Arabidopsis thaliana: one gene and its partner. The protein of the gene in region 2 interacts with the protein of the main gene of each other region in a biochemical or structural test. Each region holds a gene or a part of one and is shown on either strand. Other genes may lie near its edges.

Region 1 (6,092 bases), on a different chromosome or scaffold from region 2:
CAAAATATAACTAATAATTGTGAAATACAGCATTGTCAATTTAAATATGTAAATTATTGATTGAATAACACAACATTGTAATTGGATTCTAAAATGCAATGCAAATATCCAATCCAATAAGGCAATAACCTAGTGATATAGTTTCTGCTGCACACAGAGGGATTGGGCTAAATATTGGCAGACAATTAGGTAGCAAAATGATTAGCGTAGTTTTGACCTCTAGAGCTGATAAAAAGGGACTTGAAGTTGTAGACAAAGGCCTTTATAATCAGAATATTATATTTCATAATTCATCGGCTCCATGTGTCACAACTCTTTACATACAGATTTGTGAATACTAAAATTGGAAAACTTGGATATCTTGGTATGATTAGTACAATCCTCTATCAGTTTACTTAGTATGAAATAGGTTTTGGATTTAGCATCTAAAATCTCAAATCTTGTTGAAAACGATTGGCACTAGCTAGGATGTTACTGGTAACCTTTTGACAAGAAAGCAAGTCCCTTTTGTGGTTAATTTGTTCCTATCAGATAAGTGATTGATCTCCAATAAAGAAAGGCTCATAAGAGTTGGTTAAGATTCTTGTATAACGTTGAGTGATTATTTGATTTGGTTTGCAGGTCAATAATGCAGGGATTGCTAGTGTAATCACTGATGTTGATACTCAGAGCTGAGATGGGAAAAAGTAGGTACTAGGTAGCTTTCGTGTTTGATTTGAAACAAGCGTCATTATATTACCGATTGATACAAAGTCATCATCGCTTAGAACTTTGCGCAAAATAGAGGATAGGGTTGTGTGAATGACTCATCATATCATTATAGAGGTTAAGGAAGACAAAAGAATATTACAACATCATTACCAGAAATGGTCTTTGGTTTTTTTTCCTTCTACACATCAAACACTGATTCTCATGTCTTTTGGATTTCTACCAGAACAAACTAAACAAACACAACTCAACCCATAAACCAATAAAAAAAAGAACACAGATAACATAATCACCAAAAATAGAAAGGTTAAAAAACGAAAGATGTACAAAAAGATATGAATTCTGAATCCCAAGTTTTACCTTCTCTTGGTTTAATACTTGACGTGCACGAGAACGTGGCGTGAGAGACAGACACTAAAGACCCTATTGCGGCTTCTTCACTTTGATTCGCTATTCGTTGCCTAGGTTCAAAGACCCGTCCTTCATTAGCTTGATGCTTAGGCTATTGAATCTCCCTCTTGAGTAATGACGAGACGCCTTTCTCCAATCCGTTCCTGTTTTCATCATTGCCGCAAACTCTTCGTAGCTTATTCTCCCATCCTAATGTCAAAAATCCATGTCAGGCACAACCAGAAGAAACATTTTTACACTAACTATAGTCTCTAAGGTTCTGTTTAACGATATGAGAAGTGAACTCTCTACAGATAGTATTTCCACTACAACAGAGAAATCATTTTTGCCTTTAGTTTATGGGGACCGCTTACACAACAGACAAATGCCAAAAGAATAAAACTGAAAAAAAGTGTTTAAAGCTACATGTTTTGTCCTCAGGCTTTTAAGAACTTTTTGCAAAGCATGTTTCCATTACCTATGTGTAAAACTGTAAATTCAAATGGTTTGGTTATCATCAAACAAATAGCGCAAAAAGAAAAAAGATTTAAAGTCACATCTCCTGTCCTTTGTGCCTTTTTAGGACTTCCTCACAACTTTGGTTTCCTAACACTCTTGCAAAAGAAAGCTCTTTTGAGTTTCTTTTGAACATGATGAGATCATACCATAGACAGAAGATTTGACACTTACCTTGTCTGTGTCAACTTCTTGGAATATATCATTGGCGACATCCACACAGTCATCTCCTCCATCTTCCTTTAAGGCGTCACAAAGCTCCTGGGGCAAAATGTACCCATTTCCATCCTTGTCAAAGTAAGAGAAGGCTTTGCGGAGATGCTCATCGTTTGCTACCTTTTGCAGGTGGAGAGACACTGCTACAAATTCTCCATAGTCTAGAGTTCCTTTTCCTTTAGTATCCACCTGTTTTATACAAATTTGAATTATCAAGACAATATTTTAGTGAACCTGGATAGTGAACGTGAACAAAAAAAGATCACTGAAAAATTAAGCGGGAAGTGAATGATAAGATCATGCAAAAAGAAGTTTGACTCTACTTCTTCAGTCAAGCAATCAGTAATAAATGTACGGTGATGTAGAAGGGAAAGATATGTGCACCGCTTCAATAAGCATCTGAACTTCTGATTCCGCTAGCTGTGTACTAAAATCACGAAGTCCGGCTTTCAACTCCTCAATGGAAACTATACCATCATTATCAGTATCCATCTTGTTGAACATTACTTTGATGTCTTCTACTTCTTCCGTAGATAAAAATTCGGCAATAACCTGGTTTGAATAAGATTAGTAAAGATATCTTCCGTTTAAGAAGTGACTCATGCAAGTAATTAAGAATGAGAGTTTATCAGATAAACAAACCCTTAAAGCTTTTCTCTTGAATCGGTTCATCACTGAAAATTGCTTCAACCTCGACTTCACAACATCTCCAAGAGGAACATTGGGAGCTTTCTTTGCGTTCTGAATCCATGGGTGCTCTAGCAAATGAGAAACAATAACAAAAGCAGGAATAAGCATAAAAAAAATCTTTTGGAGTATCTCCAGATCAGTGAAGTAATTGGGAAAAGAGATAATAACAGATGCAGAGAGAAAGAGCATAAGGCAAAGGTAGCTTCTATGTACCAAGCACTTGCTTTGCAGTCAGCCGACGCTTTGGATCAGGCTCTAACATTTGTCTGACTAGATTCTTAGCGGTCTCAGAAATGTTTGGCCACGGTTCCCTCTTAAAATCAATTACTCCACGCAGAATAGCCTGAGCAACTCCCTGTTCTGACTCTGTGGTTCAAAGAAAAAACTGGCTGAAACTACAATTTACAAAAGACTAGCATGCTAAGGTATTATAAGAATCCGGCAGAGGAATCGAAAAACTAGCAAATGCTCCGGCAGAGGAAATCGAAAGACTAGAGAAGAGAGGAAGGGGTTAACAGACCTGCCCAGAACGGAGGAACTCCACACAAGAGAATATAAAGAATCACTCCAGCACTCCAAATATCTATTTCGGGTCCATAATTCCGCTTAAGCACCTCAGGTGCCATGTAATATGGACTCCCAACAATCTCAGAGAATTTCTCACCTGGTCATATGTAAGCATTACAAAAACAGCATCAACACCAAATAAACTGGTCAAAATACATCAAAGGTATGTATCAATCAAGAAACATAAATCCTACAATAAACTAGAAGCTCCCTCTATGACCCAGTATTCCACTACAACAACACTAATAATCAACAATAAAAGCTAGAGAATTGAAATCTACTTTAAAATCAAAAGCAGTAACAGACCTGGCTTGAAGAAAATCGACAATCCAAAATCAATAGCTTTCAAAGGCGAGTTCTCCTTCTTATTAGCAAACAAAAAGTTCTCGGGCTTCAAATCTCTATGAATCACACCATGCTTATGACAAAGCTGCACAACCTCAACAATAGTCTTAGTAACACCAGCAGCAGCACGCTCCGTATAATGACCTCTCGCAACAATCCGATCGAAAAGCTCGCCACCTTCACAAAGCTCCATAACCAAATGCACAGCATTATCATCCTCACAAGCTTCTTTCAAAGTAACAATACTCGAACTCTTAGGCAAATGCTTCATAATCGCTACTTCTCTTTTAACATCTTCAATATCCACAGCAGTTCTAAGCTTCCTCTTGGAGATCGATTTGCAAGCGAGTAGGTCACGCGAGGACCTCTCGATACAGAGGTAAGTGACACCAAACTCGCCGCGGCCGAGTTCTCTGTCGAGTAAGTAACGGTCCTCGATGTTTTCCTTGGGAACATCGCTTAGAACTCGAATCGGCGCCGATTTTTTACCGCCGGCGGCGTCTTTGCGGGCGTGATCGTGGCCGGAATAGTTGGATTTCACGTCTTCTCTAGCAACTGCTGCGGGAGATCTGCAACAGTTTCCCATCACTGTGTGTAGCTCTGATGAGGGGTTTCAGAAGTAGAAAGTAATAGAGGTGAAAGTAGATAGATCTCTAGCTGAATTTGAGGTATCTAGGGTTCCACATTCTACGCTTTGGGAGGAATCGTGACAATGGAAGCTATAGCTAGAGAGAAGCGTAGATCGAAGAAGCGTACGGTGAAGATGAGAGTAGCGAGAGAGAGAGAGAGAGAGAGAAGAGAGGTCTCTTTTGAGTTTTTGATATTTATTTAATTTCTTTATTTTCTGTATTTTGTAAAACTCAATCATAATTTGGTCTCCTTGGTTTCTTTTTCTTTTTGAAAAATGGTCTTTACTTGTTTGGTAAATTTACACTTTATTGGATTTTATTTTAACATCTGTAAATTCCTTTAGATTCTAAGAAAAATATTTATTAAGGTACGTATATATGTTGACTAAACAATTTTCTTTTAGTAATTTTGATTGACAACAACACTATCTTTTGAATTCTTGATAAGACTGATCATTCAAAAAAAATCTAATTTTTTAAAAATAATCTGGATTGAATATATACATACTCCGGTAAAAATAATATTTTACCTTTAATTTGGAAATATTATGTGCATTACATATGTGATATGTGTGTAATCATCTAAAATACGATCACAAATTTTATACTTTGAAATATCTAAGATCCACCTGAACAACTATGACAATGAATAAAAATATGGTAATTGTACGTACAAAATAAAACAAATAATTTTTTGGTTCTAATATGCCATTTAAGATTTTGAAATGTCATGATAGAAACAACTAATGATAGAATAAAAATCTTGAAAATGTTACCATTTAAGATTTTGAAATGTCATGTGCTAATCTTTTTTGGTTCTAATATGCCATTTTTAGACTCATAATTCATAAAACAACAAGTTATTTCATAGAAAGAAAATACTAAAACGAACATTTCTAGTTTATTTTGTAAATCTAAGAACATAGATGCAGAATTTTTTCCCATTGTAAATCCAGTATTCATTTGATCAAAAATGAGCTGGCCATTTCAAAAAAGGTATGTAACATGCGAACGTAAGTGGTATGAGCCTAGGAGACTAGGAGGAGATTGAAAATTTGTGATGTTTCTAAACGATCGTGTGGTCAATGTCAACAATCATTTGTTTGGCCTTTGGGAAAGTCCTTTTTTTTTTTGTTATAAAGGATTTGCATTAGAATGGTACATTTATATATCTAAATTTAATTGATTTGAATTATACACTAATTACTTTCGAAATATCCACAAAGCTCTACGGTGTAAAATGTATCTTCCAATGTCGACATATCAAAGATAGTAGTATCATATCTTCTACTAGAGGTCTAGAGCCATCTACGTGTATTATGGTAGTTTAAATGGATGTGATCTGAGGATGTCCATCTATCTAAAATTGCGGAATTTACTTCATTTTTAGATAGGTTGGTTGCATCGAATAGTTCAAAATGATTTAATTTCTACAACTTTTTTAAAAATGATCATAGTTTTTCAAAATCAAAAGTCATCTGAGGCTTTTTGTCCCGCACACATGAATTTTTTTCTGGGTATCATATATGTCGTATCATGTAACACATAGGGCGGTAGATAAGACGAAGTCCAAAACGCGATGAAGAAACCTTTGGTTTAGCATGAGTAAAATCATAACGATAAAGATACAAACTTTTTTCATTCCCAAACCCTAAATAATGGTGCTTTTGAGAGAAAACCAATTTCTACTTACCATTTTTGGAAACCCATCAAGATGCGTAAATCTAGTTGCAACGTCCACCACATGTCTTATTTGGTGGAGCGTGGTTCACAAAAATGTTTGAAAGTTAACAAACGCGCGTCTAAATTATTATTATATACTATTCCAAAGACGCGTTCACATTTAACCCAATGTTAACCAACCAAATCTCAAGATGTGGAGATGCATTCACACATACAACAAGATATATATCTACTTAACTTATCTGAAATGCGTTCACATCACACGTATAGTAGTACCAAAGACTTGCCATGAATAAAGAAGATAAGATGTCTAGACAGATCAATTTGTAACCGTCATCATCTTCCATT
Region 2 (6,352 bases):
TAACAGTATCACCACTAACAAGAACAAAATCACCTTGAATCTGCGACGTCTCTGTCTGTTGTTCATAGATATAACGCAGAGCATCTCCAACACTGGTGGAATTGTGAGACACTATCGTTCTCACCAACAAGTTTGGGTTTGGGCGTGTGTACCATTCCGATTTCTTCAGGTAATCGATGATCTGCGACGAATGAGCACAACAGAACACAAAAACCTCTTCGATCCCAGCTGATTCGAGCCATGCTAAAGTGTAATCAATCATCGGGATGTTCACTATCGGCAATAGTACCTTTGGTCGTTCTAGGGTTATGGAACGGAATTGAGTGGTGAAGCTGTCGGCTAGAAGAATGGCTTGTAATCGTTGACGACTTAGATCCTCTGAATCCTCACGAACCTTAGCCGCCGCGGGTTTCTTCTGAGCACCCATATCTCCGATCAAATTCGATTGAAATGAAAAATTCACGACAGACTTCAAAATCAAATCCTCGCATGAGAAAATCTTTGATACAATTTTTTAAGGGGAAAAAATGTTTATTTTATAATTAACTAGGCCTAATCTCATTTATTAGTAATTAAACTCATCTAAGCCCAATAAGGCCCAATATATATAAACTCGAATGTAAACGTTTACGCGGGAAATGCTCTGTTAAATTCAGAATTCTGATGGATTAACATTGTCCAGTTATAAGTTCTCTAGGATCTTCTTTGATGATCAAATGTTTTTCTAGTAAAAAACATTACATTGCCTGCAGATATACATATACACTCTATGGAAAGAAAACAGTGGTTACTAAAGTCTTGTTAAGAGTTTTCATTGATGAGAATATACAAATGATCACCATCTCTAATCACATCTTCATCATCTATTTCTGCGTTTTCCGCATTCGTGACCTTTGTGAAGCTGTATCCAAATTTTTCACCTGCACCATAATTTTCTAGTTTACTTTACTTCCTTCTTATGTTCAGTAGTTTCTTAGAGAATTAACAAGTAAAAGAGCTTACCTGCAAGTCTTAGCAACTCTTCTATGGAAGCAGGAAGGATTATCAGCTTCGACAAATCTTTGTCCCGGGACTTCAAGTGGATGGTAACTCTTTTATCTTTTGGTTTTGCAGCTTCATGTTGTTTGATTTGGATGTTTGATCTGCAATATGGATATGCTTCCTGTGAATGAAATTCAAATGAGGTAAGATCTGCATCAGAGCAACCTTTTCCATCAAACTCTTTATTTGGTTTTTCTCCTTCTTCTATCTCTATCGTATGTTCTCGAACTCTTTTCGTTTCGCCATAACCAGATCTTCTTGAATCTCTCCATTCAGTTGACCCCATATCAATATTTTCTGAATCATGCAGTTGTAAATATTTGTGCCCATGTCCTTGATCACTAGCGTTTCCTTCTCCTGTCTTTGAACCACCAACAAGCCACTCCTTGAGAAGTGACTCTGGTTCTGAATTTGGATCATCAATTGCTATTGATTGTTGCCCTCTAAGTTTCTACATATATCATCATGAAATGAGTTCGTATTGATTAACATCATTGTGAAAACATCTCTGAAATAAAATTAGTTCCCAGGATGTTATATCATTCTTACTTACCATGAAGAGGTTGTTCATTATGACTCGTCCATCTTCGACATGAGCTCGCATAGCACTCATTAGAGATTTTTTGCTTATCCGTAGTATCTGAGATAGTTCTGTTGTCCTAACTGTGAAAGGTTGTGGTGTATAGCATAACACACCAATCTCTCCAAATGCATCGCCAACAACCGCCTTGCCTTGAACCTACATGAATGTGAGGATTACAGTCATTTCTCTTTTTTCAGCTAAGAGTTCTACAGTGAAGTTCTTTTGGTGATATATATTGTTCACATACCTGATCTTCTTCGCCAACGTAGACAGTAAAATCCTGCACAATCACCACATGAGCGAGTAAAACATGTTAGAAGGTAACTTCAACATTCCTATACAATTATTTATTTTAAATTTCATTCACTCACCACTGCCCCTGAGACTAGGATGTAGAGGTCAGTAGGAGCTTCGTTCTGTAGTATTACATCTTCTCTTGGTGGGAAATATTCGGCGTCTATATCTGAAACCTTGGTCAGAAAAAGCATATCGAGTTGGTTGGTAACTTTATGGAACATTATAACAGAAAGAGATGGACAAAGAAAGAGTTAACAAATGAGTGTTTTACCAACTGAAATAGGAAGTTGCGAGAAACTCCGTGAAATAGGTAGACGTTCTGAACGATTGGGAAGAAGAGATAGTTTGCAATGCTTGACCGGATTGCTTTCGGCAAACCATTTAAAGCTTCTTGTTGTTTCAGACCCTCTGTTTTAAACTTTAAGCAAATGTGTGATAACATTTGGTCTTGTATGTTTGGTGGGAGTTGGTTTCTTGATGCAAACTCTGAAGCAGCTCTTACAGTATCTCTCTGTTTAATTCAAAGAATCAGGTTTCTTATTAACCTATGAATATATATATATATATATTTTTTTTTGCAGGTTATAGTTATAAGAGATTGATGTGAAGTCGAAAGAAAAGTTATTGAACTTACAAAGTTTCTGGTGCGGCTAGTCCAGTGAACCACAAGGTTGGTCATATTTCCTATGAGGTAAGATGTGAAACCGAGGTTGAAGAGCATGAAAAACACAAAGAACAACATTTCTCTTGGGTTCTCAGCATGTAAGTCTCCATAACCTGTTGTTGTTAATGTCGTAATAGACCAGTAAAGAGCAGTAACATATCTACTCCATACGCTTGTCTCCTTGAAATTTGGGTAGACAGCTCCAATCCATGTTTTTGTTGGATCATGATATTGATCTGCAATGAGGTAGGCGAAGCATCCAGCACAATGTACTGCAAACAGTGTCACCTGATATATAAAAGTATACGTTGTAACTTGTAAGCTAGTAGCATTTATAGATGAAAAGAAATGAGAATTCCTCTGTTTTTGAGACTTACCGAAATGAGTTTTGTGCATCGTGTCCAGAAATAGTTGAAGCGGATATCTTTCTCAAGCCTGAAGCAGAGGAAAAATGAGAGAGTAAGCTTTATGTTGATTCTTCATATGGCAAGTCTTCTAAACTTGAAAGAAAATGGTTTAGTATTGAAAATGAACCTTGCAAACAGCGAGCTAACTCGTCTAAGACGCCAGAGCCTGAGCATACTAAGAACTCTGAATCCTATTTCACTTCCATTGTATTTGAACAGAAGACTCAGTGACTGGAATGGAGCTGTTGAGCAGACATCAAAGGCGAACCAAGTAGAAAGGTACCTAAGAACATACTCATTAATAAAAATGAGAAATGATGCTTCCCTTAAATACGTAAAAACCGTACCATTGTCTTTATTATGTACTTGTTGTTCACCTTATAGCTATTTTCTTAGGTTTGTCGACTAGAAGATATGAGTGGCTGTCTAGATAAGCAACGAAGAAGGTGAGAATGATGTCAATGGCAAAGAATCCATTGACAATGTTGTCAATGATGAAAAGTGCGTCTTTCTTGTAGGTGATGAAGGCAAACTCAAATGGACAAATCCAAGCTGAGTAAATCACAAGAATGACCAGCCACATCTCCCATCCCCTGAATTCAACATTAAGCCATAACTCAAGAAGACAACAAACACAAAAACAGAACAGAACAGAACGAGGAAAATGTGCAAGAAAGATATATACAACACCTGAAACGTGGATCGAAAGGAGAGATGATGTGTTTACGGAGCTTAGTTGATTGGTTTATTCTAGCTCCAAGAGATGGTAAGAGATCAGCAGAGAGGAAACTGCTATGTTTGAATGTATCCATATTGTATTCTTCGACGCAGAATCGTTTGAAGAAGTTTCTGGTACAAGAGATTGACATTGGTCTTGTGTTGAGGTGCTTTCTCTTCAACATAAGGTTAGTTATAAATATAGTGATGAAACTTGTGACAAGTTTCACAAGCTAACGAACTTTTTTTGCTTTCTTTCTCTCTCTCTCTCTCTCACGTTGTGGTTCTGACTTTTACAACATCAACTTGCCCTGACCCATTTCTTATCGTTTTCTAAAAAAGGAGAAGGGAAAAAAACGAATTTTTGTTTTTGGCTTTGCAGGGGAAGGTTTTAACTGTTTTGCACAAACTTTAGTGCACCATTAATGCTGCAAAAACCCACAAAGAAGGCTTACACAAGAAAATGATTAAGAAGGTGAAATAAGAATCGAGTTTCACGTTTGGTAAGATGTATAATTAAGTGGCAGACATTGAGATTTTACAGAGTTTCTGCTTCTGATAGGAAGTAAAGATTTGAAATATAGAGAGAGGAAGAAGAAGAAAGACGGAATGTGGTAATGGACTTGATGAGATTGTGACTGTGGTGGGATATCCATTTACTTAGCATTTGAGGCTAATATATATATATGCATCCACACAATGACACAAATGTGTGATTTAATGGCAAAATTTAGGTGTTTTTGTTACAGGAATCTAGAAATGGACCAAGTAAGGGGAAAAAAGAAAAGATGGTCAGAATAGAATTTTGTAAGGGCCAAAAGGGAGAAAGATACAAGTAAATATTCCACTATTCGTTAAGTAGATCAAATACTTTACAATAATTTGAAAAACACTGCTTAATTGAATTCTCTTTTGGTAAAACTAAAATGTTGAGCGGTTTAACAAAGATGTTAGCTACAAGAAAACCAATTCTCAGATTCTTTACCTGGACAGCTAATATGTAATGATGACACGTGGACCAATATAGGTTTCCAGTTCCACATTTGTTGTTTCTTGTTTTTGATTCAGGTTAGTTTTTTATTTATATATAATGATTATTATTAACTTTTAGTGTCTTGATTTACGTTTTGTTTGATATTTTTTGTGCCATTGTGTGTTTTACCTGGAAAACTTATATAGACCGTTCGTTGATTTTAATTTAGAAAGATTAATCCTTAATTACGCGTAAACATCTAATCAGCGAATTGACACACCAAAAAAACATCCAATCAGAGAATCTGTCACGACATGGAAAGAACAAAAAAAATACTAATTAGATAGTTAAAGCAGACAAACAAATTCTGTTTCACACTATAAATTATAATGGAAACTGATTGAAGTAGTACTAGTAACAATCAAAACGTACATGATGTTATAGTCTATAATTTCGGTGATAATGTTTTCTCAATTAGGGAAATTTTCTTAAATAAGATTATATCGAAAAGTATTATTACGTATGATGTTTGTCTATATTTTTCTCTTCTTCTTTTTTTTATAAAAAATTTACAAAATAAAAATAAAATCAGAATACTACTTACATTCTGTTAAAAACTACCATGTTCTATTTTTTCCTTAATTCATAATGCTTTTTCATAGAAATATCCTTAATAAATTTAAAATTTCACTAGAGACAAATTTTGCCTGCAGATCTTTTTAGATGGTTTAACTAACATTTGGAATATTTAAGAAAAGAAGACGTAACAAATTAAAAAAATCGAACTGATTTTAATTCTCTTCGCTTGCCATTCTTTCTGTGGAAGTAGCACATTATCTAAATTTCTATTAATCTGAACTATAACCACCACTCGGTTTATGAGTTTGTTTGTGGCATGCTGCTAGTTAGCCTCTGTCTCTAATTCTCTATGGCTTATCTTTCTCTTTTCATGTTGTAAGTTTTCACTTTCTTGAAGTTATTGTACCAACCTCTTGGTTGAAGATCTTGTAAACTTTGATCCTTTGGAGATAAAATAAATGAAATACAAGAATGTTTGCAAACAAAAAAACCCACCACTCGGTCTAAGAATCGGTTAAATATGATGAAAAAGCAACAAAAATCGGTTAAATCTTGCACATGCAAAAAGAGACATTGGGTCCAAATGATTCAATATTTTTTGTCGTTATTTTTCAATGGGGGAAACACAGTTTTCGACTTAGAAGTCGCAACCCATATTATAGGTGACATGCATTTGTGACTATTTGACTGAGAGAACACTAAACCGATATTTTGCAAATGTTTGATTTTGATTTCTAATATAAAAATAATAACGTTGGTTAATTTATGGTGGTCTTATACTAGACAACAGATCTGGACGTGTAAGTGATTAGTCAATGTTTAATTTTTAAAATCAATTTACTTTCAAATTTTATAGGAGTAAAAAGAGAAGAGGATTCACTTTGCGTTTTCGTTTTGGTCTTTTACTTATATTGTTTTATCATGATACAATCGCTGTAATCAGAGTTAGTGTAACTGTAGCACCCATATATAGATTCGTTGAAGTAGTTAGTCTGACCTTTTAGCTTTATTGCCTTATCATGAGAAATATTTGTACGTAATCATAATTAGAGTAAGTATCCCCTATTCACCTATATATAGGTTTAGCGATC

What was found.
Region 1: of the proteins of KAT2 (region 2) and CPK13, one has a biochemical effect on the other in vitro, tested with the Arabidopsis thaliana proteins (one study listed by BioGRID).

The regions. Positions count from the first base shown.
Region 1 is NC_003074.8:19,230,593-19,236,684, reverse strand, and holds CPK13 (calcium-dependent protein kinase 13), read right to left. Parts: upstream 4,328-6,092; 5' UTR 4,019-4,327; coding exon 3,394-4,018; intron 3,185-3,393; coding exon 3,041-3,184; intron 2,887-3,040; coding exon 2,734-2,886; intron 2,589-2,733; coding exon 2,473-2,588; intron 2,383-2,472; coding exon 2,215-2,382; coding exon of another isoform or gene 2,170-2,214; exon of another isoform or gene 2,154-2,169; intron 2,020-2,153; coding exon 1,789-2,019; coding exon of another isoform or gene 1,705-1,788; exon of another isoform or gene 1,577-1,704; intron 1,309-1,576; coding exon 1,159-1,308; 3' UTR 794-1,158; downstream 1-793. UniProt on the Arabidopsis thaliana protein: May play a role in signal transduction pathways that involve calcium as a second messenger.
Region 2 is NC_003075.7:10,112,927-10,119,278, reverse strand, and holds KAT2 (potassium channel KAT1-like protein), read right to left. Parts: upstream 4,486-6,352; 5' UTR 3,895-4,485; coding exon 3,683-3,894; intron 3,586-3,682; coding exon 3,370-3,585; intron 3,276-3,369; coding exon 3,120-3,275; intron 3,021-3,119; coding exon 2,963-3,020; intron 2,874-2,962; coding exon 2,556-2,873; intron 2,433-2,555; coding exon 2,193-2,432; intron 2,095-2,192; coding exon 1,996-2,094; intron 1,905-1,995; coding exon 1,872-1,904; intron 1,781-1,871; coding exon 1,595-1,780; intron 1,493-1,594; coding exon 1,003-1,492; intron 921-1,002; coding exon 802-920; 3' UTR 627-801; downstream 1-626. Other genes in the region: AT4G18300 (Trimeric LpxA-like enzyme), read right to left, coding at 1-427. UniProt on the Arabidopsis thaliana protein: Highly selective inward-rectifying potassium channel. This voltage-dependent channel could mediate long-term potassium influx into guard cells leading to stomatal opening.